Sus scrofa: one gene and its partners. The protein of the gene in region 1 binds, or shares a complex with, the protein of each later gene. Links are inferred from orthologs where the notes say so. Each region holds a gene or a part of one and is shown in the gene's direction. Other genes may lie near its edges.

Region 1 (3,650 bases):
AGGTACCCAGAATGGAATGGTGATACATTATTTAATGTTTGAGTGCCAAAAATGTACTAAGCACGAGCTACAACAGAGATTTAGATAGCCAGCCAATGTTCTCAGGATAGACCCAACAAAAACTCAGACCTCAGGAATACTCTGGGGAAAAAGTTAAATAGTAACAAAGTGTAAAGGTCTGAAATACTAGGAAATGAGAAATCCATGCAGGTTCTGCTAAAATTATTCTCATCAGTTGTGTGCAATGTGAAATGGTCCTCAGTGATGCACAGATATTCTTGCAAAATCATCTGCAGGCTTTTAGACAGATAATAATTTTTCAGTTCTATAATAAATTGTCTCCAGCCCTGTTGGAATTTGTACTCAGCGCTTAGTAAGAGGCAGCATAGTGTAGTCATCAGCTGACTTGGATTTCAGTCCCTGTTCTGCCCTGTTTATTATGACCCCCCATGTTCAAGCTTTTTTTTTTTTTTTTTTTTTTTTTTTTTTGGCTTTTTGCTTTTTAGGGCCGCGCTCAGGGCATATGGAAGTTCCCAGGCTAGGGGTTGAATTAGAGCTACAGCTGCCAGCCTACACCACAGCCACAGCAATGCAGGATTTGAATCAAACCTGTGACCTGCCACAGCTCACAGCAAGGCCAGATCCCCAGTCCACTGAGCGAGGCCAGGAATCAAACCCACATCATCATGGTAATAGATTCGATTCCGCTGTACCACAACAGGAGGTCCTCCAGGCACTTTAAATACTGTACATTCTTATACTTCTCCCAATAGCCTTCTCCAACTAGAGGTTAGGCAGTTTGTCCATGGTCACAAGTGGCAAGGCCAGGGTTTGAACCAAGTTTCATTCAGCTCCAAAGAGTGTTGCCTCTACCTCCATATCATGCTGCATTTTGCTTCTTTGAACCTCATTTTCCCTCTAAAATGAGAATAACTATATCTGGCATGCCAACTTCAAAGAATTCTTAATGGAGATCAAAGGAAATACAATATTTTAAAACACTTTGAGACTTTTACAGTGTACACAAAAGCCATTGGGGAGGAATATGTACATGTTTTTTTCCCAGGACTTGCCTCCATCCTCAGGGTTTGTAATGGCATGTAAATGGGTATGTTTTATTATCAAAAAAGCAGCCCAGCTGCTGACCTTGTTGGCACTTGGCATGTTCAACTATCAGAGAAAAATATGTAACTCACATCTAGCTTGATAGAGTATTCAAGCTATCAACTGTGCCTGAAATACTAAATTTCTAATCAGAGTTCCCTGATTATAAGTTCCTCCCATTCCATATTTGTAATTGGTCATCTTTAATATTGATTCACATTTTTGCATAGCATTCGTTAGTTTATTTCTGTGTGCATGTGTGTAGTAATTTTACAAGAATTAAGGTTTTATTTCACCCCCTTTGCACTGTGAGGTAGATAGGAATGGAAGGCATTCTACCTGGGTTAAAGTACAGACACTGAAAAGTTCCTTTATGGCACAGCAGGTTAAGAATCCAGTGTTGTCACTTCAGCAGCTTCGGTCGCTGCTATGGCGTGAGTTCAGTCCCTGGCCCAGTAACTTCCACATACCATAGGTGCAGGAAAAAAAAAGTACAGACACTGAGACAAAGTAAAATGTTTATAGAGCCTAAAAGGTTTTTTTCCCTCCCAGGCTATAATGTCTCTTTGCTCTACGACCTTGAAAATCTTCCTGCGTCCAAGGATTCCATCGTGCATCAGGCTGGCATGTTGAAACGAAACTGTTTTGCCTCTGTCTTCGAGAAATACTTCCAATTCCAAGAAGAGGGCAAGGAAGGAGAGAACAGAGCAGTTATCCATTATAGGGATGATGAGACCATGTGAGTATAGAATTTGGTCCTGAAGCCTGGGTGTGGCTGTCACATGCCGAAAGATTCAGCTAAGTCAGACCTTAAACTCTATTGTGTGAATCCTCCCATGTATCTTTCCATAAAATTCTTTAAGCCAAGATGTAAGAGGTAGCGGGGCATGAAAAGGCCACTTCTCCTAAAGTTCCAGATACTGAAAAGTTGGCAAAAGATGAAAAGGGAATCCACTGCTGTCCTTAAAGGTACACCATTTTGAGTCCCTCCAGTAATACAGCAGATAGTCAGCAAGCAGAGGGTGACTGTGTTGTTGCAGCTCTTAGGTTATCTACATACTGTAAATCTCATAGTATATAAAGGAATACATTTTGGAATTCCCTCGTGGCTCTGCAGGTTGGGGATCTAGCATTGTCACTTCTGTGGTGTGGGTTCGACCCCTAGTTTAGGAACTTGTGTATGCCACAGGCGCAGCCAAATAAGTAAAACTGAGCTTTTGGAGTTCCCATTGTGACTCAGCGGGTCTAGAGCCCAACTAGTATCCATGAGGATATGGGTTCGATCCCTGGCCTTGCTCAGTGGGTTAAGGATCCGGCGTCGCCTTGAACTGTGGGTAGGTCACAGGCACAGTTCAGATTCTTAGTTGTGGCTGTGGCTTGGACCAGCAGCTGTAGATCCGATTCGACCCTAGCCTGGGAACTTCCATATGCCTCGGTTATGGCCCTAAAAAGCAAAAAGTAAATAAATAAAGTAGAATTCTGAGAATTATTAATTCAAGATTTCATGTCATACTGTATAGACTAGTTAATCATAACATTGACTTTGGGTGATTTTCATCTGCTTCTCCTTGGGCATGCATTTATTATACTGACTTACCAGCCTTAAATACTTAGTGTCACTGGTACATCTTATTTTATGAATTTAGACATTTATAACTTTACTCTCTGGCTTCGGTTGTAGGTCAAGCTTGACAAAACCTTGTTCTGATTCTGTACTTAACTCATGGGTTTTGTTCCCCTCAGGTATGTTGAGTCTAAAAAGGACAGAGTCACAGTAGTCTTCAGCACAGTGTTTAAGGATGACGACGATGTGGTCATTGGAAAGGTGTTCATGCAGGTATGGAGCAGACATCTTGGGGGGGAACCATGGCTGATGACCTGTACCTTGGCACCAAAGCATACCATAAGCATAGAAAAGAACTGGCAGCTCTAATGATGCTGAAACTTATTCAAGACTTCATTAAACAGTTCCCATCAAATTCACTGATTTTTTTTCTTCTTAGTGGCTTTAGCCTTTTGCAAGACTGGACTAGAGGACGAATTGAATATTAAACATACTAACAAAGTGACAAAATATTAAGCATCCTTTTTGCCATGAGGTCTTTGATTTAAAGTTTGGCCACACTTTCTACCCTCTTCAAGTTTCTAGCAAGGTCTGTTCTTGTCTTGGTTTAGTCCTAAAGTCTTTTCGAAATGGAGTCTAGAGAACATTCTTAAGTACTAGGTAACACATTAGTAGGGTAGAGTTGTTGACCTAAAAGTGAAGAGAATGGGCCTGAGTTTGACCGAGGTCACCGTGGAGTATCTCCCTCTGAAGAAGCTCATCCACGAAGGAGAGTAATGGCGTTTAGCAGGACATTTTGTAATTAGATTTCTGGTGCCCTTGGGCTCAAGTCAGAGATAATGCACCACTGTTACTTTGTTGTGCTGTCTGCTAACCAGTTGTTGGCTTTTGGACATGAGACCTCATTGGTGAAGTGGTATCCTGGCTGGTTTCTTTTGAGATGGCTCAGCATTCAAATCTAGTACAGTGGTTAAATTTTCCA
Region 2 (3,322 bases), on another chromosome or scaffold:
ACTTGCTTTTTAATGATTTTTTTAAAAGATCTGCAATTGTAACAGAATGATTAGAATTTAATTCTATTAAATATTATAGAATACTCAGAAATGGGAGGAATAAAAAGGTAATCATATATAATCCCACTACCCATAGATAATTATTACTTTTTGGTGTTGCTCTATGCTTAAAGAGTTTTCCTATGCATGTTTTTTTTATGAAAATGGAATTTTATAACCTGCTTTTTCAGCCATACAGCAATGTGCATGAACCTCTTTCCTTGGCAATAAGTTTATTTCTACAATATCCTTTTTAATGGCTGAGTATAGATAATAGTGTAGTTTATATATAACTCATCTCCTTTTGTCATATGTTTAGATTATTGACCTTTCTCTTGTAAACAGTACTGAAATCAACAGTTTGCGTAAATTCTTAACTTTTTTTTGAATAAATTTCTAGATGTGAATTACTGGATTTTAGACTGCACATTTTTTAAAGCTTTGGTATATATGATATTGCCAAATTGCCCTTCAGAAAAGCTGTATAAACATTCCCTGTAGCAGTCTTTCAGTAATTCTTAAGACCCTATTTACTTATTTATTGTTTAAAATGAAGCCCAGGGAGTTCCCGTCGTGGCGCAGTGGTTAACGAATCCGACTAGGAACCATGAGGTTGCAGGTTCAATCCCTGCCCTTGCTCAGTGGGTTGACGATCCGGCGTTGCCGTGAGCTGTGGTGTGGGTTGCAGACGCAGCTCGGATCCAGCATTGCTGTGGCCCTGGTGTAGGCCAGCAGCTTCAGCTCCGATTAGACCCCTAGCCTGGGAACCTCCATATGCCGTGGGAGCGGCCCAAGAAATGGCAAAAAGACAAAAATAAATAAATAAATAAAATAAAATAAAATAAAATGAAGCCCAGAGCATTGACACCACTGTCGGTAGCTATTCATACATTCTAGAAGCCCCAAGAATCCCCTTAGTTGAATAGTCGTAAGTAATAACTTAGGTTAATGCGTAATAATTATCTAGACAACATAATCTTTTATACGGGGGAAAATTGGGGTTTTTTAAAGTATGTAAAGTCATTGAAATTTTAGTTTTACCACCTTCTGTTTTCATATGGGTGTTTTTTTTTAATCATAGCTTGTGGGTGGGAGGTCATAGCTCTGGGTGCAGGGATGTTTTTCTAAATAGAGTAATTACATGGTCTTTAAGCTGACGATAACAACAGGTGGTAGAGACATACTGCAAAATCCTGACCAGTGGGAGTATTGAAGATAGCACTTTGTGTGGAATAGGAGAAACATTGTGAAAAAGGGGAAGTTAAGGTTCCCTGTGCTGGGCTTGATGGGTGAAAAAATGACTTTGCTGTTGGAACTGCCTTTTATCAAAGAAAAAAGGTCATAATCCAAAACTTAAAATGTTTTCTTAAAAACTTAAATTTTTGCTTATTAATAACTTATTTCTGAAGGATGGTTCAAGATAGAATTGCAATTTAGTTTCCTTTTTTGTTTTTATTTTTAAGATCAAGAAATAGGAGTTCCCATTGTGGCACAGCAGAAATCAATCTGACTAGGAACCATGAGGTTGTGGGTTCAATCCCTGGCCTCGCTCAGTGGGTTAAGGACCCGGCATTGCCGTGAGCTGTGGTGTAGGCTGGCAGCTATAGCTCCGATTCGACCCCCAGCCTGGGAACCTCCATGTGGCTCGGGTGCTGCCCTAAAGAGCAAAAAAAGAAAAAGATCAAGAAATAAAGTGTGTTGATTTAATACGTTGGTAAATTATCACATCTGTCTATCTGTAAGCAAATTCTTTTCTTTCACCTCTACCTTCAAATATATCAAGAATCTGTCAGAGAAAAAAAAAATTTTTTTTTACTTAAATAGGAGTTCCTGCTGTGGTGCAGTGGGTTAATGGTCCTGCATTGTCTCTGTGGCAGCACAGGTTCAGCTCCCCAGCCCCGTGCAGTGGGTTAAGCATCCGGTGTTGCAGCAGCTGTGGTGTAGGTCACAGTTGCAGCTCAGATTTGATCCCTGGCCCAGGAACCTCCATATGCCGCGAGTGTGGCCCTAAAAAGAAAAAAGAAAAAAAAAGCTTTAATAAAATAAAATACCATTAAAAATGATAATAATAATCTGTCCACTTCTGACCACCTCTGCTGCTACCATGCTAGCCAAAACCAGCCTGTCTTTTGCAATAACTTCCAAACTGGTTCCCTGCTTCTGCTTCTGCCTTATCTGAAGCTCTCCCTGCCCTCCCCAACCCCCACGGCCCCAGGCTTACGCTCTACAAGGCAGCCAACATGGTCTTGCTACAATGTAAGATTATATCACTGTTCTTTTGAGAATCTTCCAACATCTCATTTCTCTGACTGGAAGCCAGAGCCCTCCCAAGGGCCCGCAGGGCTTATGTCCTCTTCCCACCTCGGCTCTGACGTCCTGTCTACCCTTCTTCCTCCGCTGCAGCCACCTTGGGTCTTTTTGCTATTCCTTGACCCTTGAATATACTGACCACACATTAACAGCAGTTCCTCCTTCCTGTGCTTGAAATACTTTCCTCAGAGACACCCAAGGTTTCCCCTTTCTTGTCCTTCATGTCTTTGCTCAGACGTCACATTCTCAATGTGACCTTTCTGAAACTACCCCCACGCATGTCTAAATGATCTGGTATTTATTCCCCTCAGGATCGAGCAGGCAGCATTGTCTTGAAGGTGCTCATCTCTTTTAAAGCTAACGATATTGAAAAAGCAGTTCAGTCCCTGGACAAGAATGGCGTGGATCTGCTAATGAAGTATATTTATAAAGGCTTTGAGAGCCCCTCTGACAATAGCAGTGCCATGTTACTACAGTGGCACGAAAAGGTAAGTTATGAGTTGTAGATCTGTATGACTTCTGAATGACTGTTTCCTTTGGAATAGAGAATAAGATTGACAACCTCCCTCACCTAAATAACTATTTTAACTTTTGGGTTATACTTCTTTGTTATTGTGAAGAAATTCCATGAAAATGAAAATTGAGATTCATGCTTACTGGCCTTGAGATGTTGATTTGTTAACAGTGATAATTGTTTATTAAACGCAACCTTTTACTTAAATGATAAACCTTGAACTTTGAACTACATCAAAACATTGAGAAGAAAATAAGCAATAAAATCAAGAATTCCTTAACAATGACCAAAGCGCCCATGGACAGATGAACAGTTAAACAAAATGTGATACATACACATGATGGAATATTATTCAACCTGAAAAAGGACATTCTGGTGCATAGTGTAGCATGAATGAACCTTGAAAATCAGCAGAGTGAAATAAACGAGACACAAAAGGATAAGTACTGTGTGATTCTA
Region 3 (3,750 bases), on another chromosome or scaffold:
GGCACTGGGGACAGAAATGTGAACAAGTTAGAGAAAAATGTGTCTCCATCAAGCTTGTTAGAGTCCAGCAGTGGGGGAAGCAACGGGCCGAATAAATGAGGACAGGGTAACGTATGTTCGAGAATTCATTATCTGTGCAGAAAACTAAATTGGGTGTGTGGGGGTGGGGCAGGCGGTGGCCTTGGGCAAGACTTGAATGGCAGCAGCCATTCGCCTGCGGGCAGCGCGGGGAAGAGCTTTGAAGGCTGAGGGAACAGCCAGTGAGAAGGCCTGAGGCTCTGGTCTGGCTGGGAGGCCCACCCCTAAACAGGTGAAGCAAGATGGGTGCCGTCGCGTCCGTTATGGACTAAGAGCTGCCGTGTCATGAACACCTACTGTGTGCCAGGCATGGTGTGTCATCTTACTTCAGCCTCACACCTCTGGGGGCTAAGGTTCCCATTCCCGTCTTGTAGATGTGGAAATCGAGATTCAGAGAGGGTGTGTGATGTGCCCAGGGTCACACAGCAGGCAAGCAGTGCTGCTGGGCTCCCCTTGACTCACTCCCCAGCCCCCACCCCGGGTCCCTGCAACTCTGGGGGGCTGAGGAAGTGATGCTGACTTTGGCTCTTTATGGATGAGCAGGACTTGGCCAAATAGAACAGGCAGGCACCTGCAGCCCAGAGGGACTAGCCCGCTGGAGTGAAATGCAGGGAGAGCTGGCCTCGGAGGCACATCGGGCGTGGCCTTCCTTGCAGAGGGAACAGCGTGTGCAAAGGCCAGGAGGCCTGGTGCGCTCCAGACACAGAGACTGGCCTCAGGGTGTGGGTTCAGCACGAAGATCCAATAGCAGGGGGCCCCCAGCAGCCCTGGGGGGGGGGCAGGGCATCTGATGGCAGAGGCAGCCAGGGTCCTGGGGACACTCACCTGGGCGCCATGTGGCTTCCCCTCAGCAGGACAGGCTGAGTCAGGGAGGAGTCACACCCTCTCGGGAGGCGGGGGGGCCTGAAAGGACAGTTGCTGGGAGAGGTGGCCCATCTTGGCATGGGGGCATAGGTGGGCAGAGCTGGCTGGGGGTGAGGGTGAAGGGAGGCTAACCAGGACCCGCCCGGGGGTGGGGGGAGGCGGGGGTGGGGTGCTGAGCTGGGGGCGGGGCACCACTCTCCGTTTCTGGGATTGTTGAATTTCATCCTGGGGGGGGCAGAGGGGGGTCCACCCATGAGGAATCTGAGGCACAGATGAGTGATGATGTGGGGGAGCGTCCCAGCACGCCCCACTCACGGTCGTGGCTTCACCCACTGCCCCGTGCCCTCCAGTCCTCATCCATCCTTTGTCTTTGTCCCCTGGCGCCTCAGAGACAGCCTGTGAGAGCTACGGAGGGACACTGAGGCCCCAGGAGGGAAGGAGGGTGCAAGGCAGGGGCCGGGGCAGGGCCTGGCTGACTTGGCTTTCTTCCCTGCCTTGGGCACAGGAGCCGAGCAGCCATGGCCTATCACAGCTTCCTGGTGGAGCCCATCAGCTGCCACGCCTGGAACAAGGACCGCACCCGTGAGTGCCCCGCCCTCCCCGAGATGATGGGAGAGGCTTCACCTCCGACCCTGAGCTTTTGGGAGGGGAGACCCAAGCAGGGCAGCAAGACTAGTGGCCATGGAAGGTGGAGGCAAGAGCCCAGCCTCACCTGTGCTGGGCGCCCCTCCAGGGGCCAGGCCCTCTGCTCTCAGGCTGGGGAGGGAAATGTGACCTGCAGTGAGGTCAGCTCTAAAGAGACCTGCAGGGTGAGGGCCAAGTGGTGGAGCAGAGGTGCTGGTTTAGAAAAAATGACCAGGGAGGGCCTTTCAGGGGAAGGTGACATTTGCACAGAGGCTTACAGGAGGTGAAGGGGCCAGCCTGCTGAGGCCACAGCAGGTGAGAGGCCCCGAAGCGGCAGAGCCAGCAGGGCTGTGGCTGGAGCTGGGAAGCAGGTGCAAGCTCCCGGAAGTGGCAAGACTGCCTGGGGCATCGGGGGTGGCGGGTGTGGGTAAGGGGTTGTCAGCCCCTGCGGAGGTGTCACAAGGGGGGGCCCAGCAGGACCTGAGGGGCTTCGGGGGGCTCCTCCCAGGCAGAGAGTTGCAAAGGACAAGGTAACTGATCTGGTGGCCTGTCCAGGGTATTCCTCATGGGGGGTGAGAGCCAGGCATGCACGCTTCCTCTCACTCCCTGCACCCGCCCGTCTCTCCCGCAGAGATTGCCATCTGCCCCAACAACCACGAGGTGCACATCTACGAGAAGAGTGGGAACAAGTGGGTCCAGGTGCACGAGCTCAAGGAGCACAATGGGCAGGTGACAGGTAGGTTGCGCTGGCTAGGGTCGCTCTCTTGAAAGGAGGCAGGAGGGATGGGGCAGGGCTGGACCGGACAGGGCCTGCCCACTGTATTAGGTTGGATAGTTTGGGTCAAAAGTAGCACAAACCCTGATTCAAACTGGCTGAAGTTATAAAGGGATTGCATTGGTTTATGTTACTGAAAAACTCAGATGTTATTCAGGCTTCAGGAAACGCTTGATCCAGCAGCTCAGCATTACTAAGGACCCATTTCTGCCTCTTGGCTTGGTCTTCCTGCATGTTTTGTGATAGTTGGGAGAGCTGTAGCACCCCCAGAGCAATGTCCATCCTTATTATGGCCTCTAAGCCCCTCCTGGGTGGACACTGTTAGAACCACATCTGCTTGGATGGCTTCAGTCTAGTGCCTCCTCTCCACCCTATAGGCATTGACTGGGCCCCTGAGAGTAACCGCATCGTGACTTGCGGCACAGACCGCAACGCCTACGTGTGGACGCTGAAGGGCCGCACGTGGAAGCCTACCCTTGTCATCCTGCGCATCAACCGTGCTGCTCGCTGTGTGCGCTGGGCCCCCCAGGAGAACAAGTTTGCTGTGGGCAGTGGCTCCCGTGTCATCTCCATCTGCTATTTTGAGCAGGAAAATGACTGGTGGGTGCCCGGGCAGGGCCAGAGTGGTCTGAGGGGGGTACCTGGGGCTGCAGATCAAGAGGTGGTGCGACAGGAGGGTCCCAAAAAGCACTGGCCGGGGTATCCAGACCCCTGTTCATATGTCCCTGGGGAAGGGTGTCCCCTCCAGACCTCGTAGGTGAGGCGAGGGGCTCCCCGCACAGCCACTGGCCCTCCCACTGCCCCGTCTCAGTCATAAGGGCACAGGCCACACCAGGGCTGCCTCTGCAGGGTGGCACTAACTCTGCACACATTTTGGCATTGACGCCCCGCCCCCAGCAGCCCCCTGGACCGGCGTCTGTTGCCGTCCCCACTTTACAGGTGAGCAAAGGCTCTGGGGCAAATCACTTGCCCAAGACGCCCAGCCTGTCCCGCTCCAGGGCCCACTCACAGGCTCCCAGTCACGCCATGATCTTCTCCCCTGGGTCCCTGAGAGCAGAGGCCAGGCAGGAGGTCAGGCTGGAGCCCTGGAGACCCAAGTTCAAATCCCACCCTGGCCAGTTAGCAGCCACGTGACTTCTCCTTACTGAGCCTGCCCCAGAGTTGTTGCAGGGCTTAAAGGAGACCAGGGCTGAAGTTCCCACCCTGGGTGAGAGCCCGCCCATCACCCGCCTGAGCTGCCAGAGCCTGGCCCTGCCCTCCTGGGACTCCTATGCAGCCTGCAGGGCCCCGTGGGAGCCCGAGCCTCTGGGGCAGCGAGGTGGGCAGGTGCCCCGTCTGAGCCTCTCCCCTGCTCCCTGTTCGGCTGCCCTGTCCAGGTGGGTGTGCAAGCACATCAAGAAGCCCATTCG

What was found.
Region 2: ARPC2 (region 1) and ARPC5 share a complex: the UniProt entries of both Homo sapiens proteins name them as parts of the arp2/3 complex. The link is inferred for Sus scrofa from reciprocal best matches to the Homo sapiens genes ARPC2 and ARPC5.
Region 3: ARPC2 (region 1) and ARPC1B share a complex: the UniProt entries of both Homo sapiens proteins name them as parts of the arp2/3 complex. The link is inferred for Sus scrofa from reciprocal best matches to the Homo sapiens genes ARPC2 and ARPC1B.

What each region holds. Positions count from the first base shown.
Region 1 is NC_010457.5:120,314,010-120,317,659, forward strand, and holds part of ARPC2 (actin-related protein 2/3 complex subunit 2), read left to right. Parts: intron 1-1,656; coding exon 1,657-1,843; intron 1,844-2,847; coding exon 2,848-2,941; intron 2,942-3,650. UniProt on the Homo sapiens protein: Actin-binding component of the Arp2/3 complex, a multiprotein complex that mediates actin polymerization upon stimulation by nucleation-promoting factor (NPF).
Region 2 is NC_010451.4:124,841,710-124,845,031, reverse strand, and holds part of ARPC5 (actin-related protein 2/3 complex subunit 5), read left to right. Parts: intron 1-2,660; coding exon 2,661-2,837; intron 2,838-3,322. UniProt on the Homo sapiens protein: Component of the Arp2/3 complex, a multiprotein complex that mediates actin polymerization upon stimulation by nucleation-promoting factor (NPF).
Region 3 is NC_010445.4:6,335,039-6,338,788, forward strand, and holds the start of ARPC1B (actin-related protein 2/3 complex subunit 1B), read left to right. Parts: upstream 1-1,460; coding exon 1,461-1,524; intron 1,525-2,197; coding exon 2,198-2,302; intron 2,303-2,718; coding exon 2,719-2,941; intron 2,942-3,717; coding exon 3,718-3,750. UniProt on the Homo sapiens protein: Component of the Arp2/3 complex, a multiprotein complex that mediates actin polymerization upon stimulation by nucleation-promoting factor (NPF).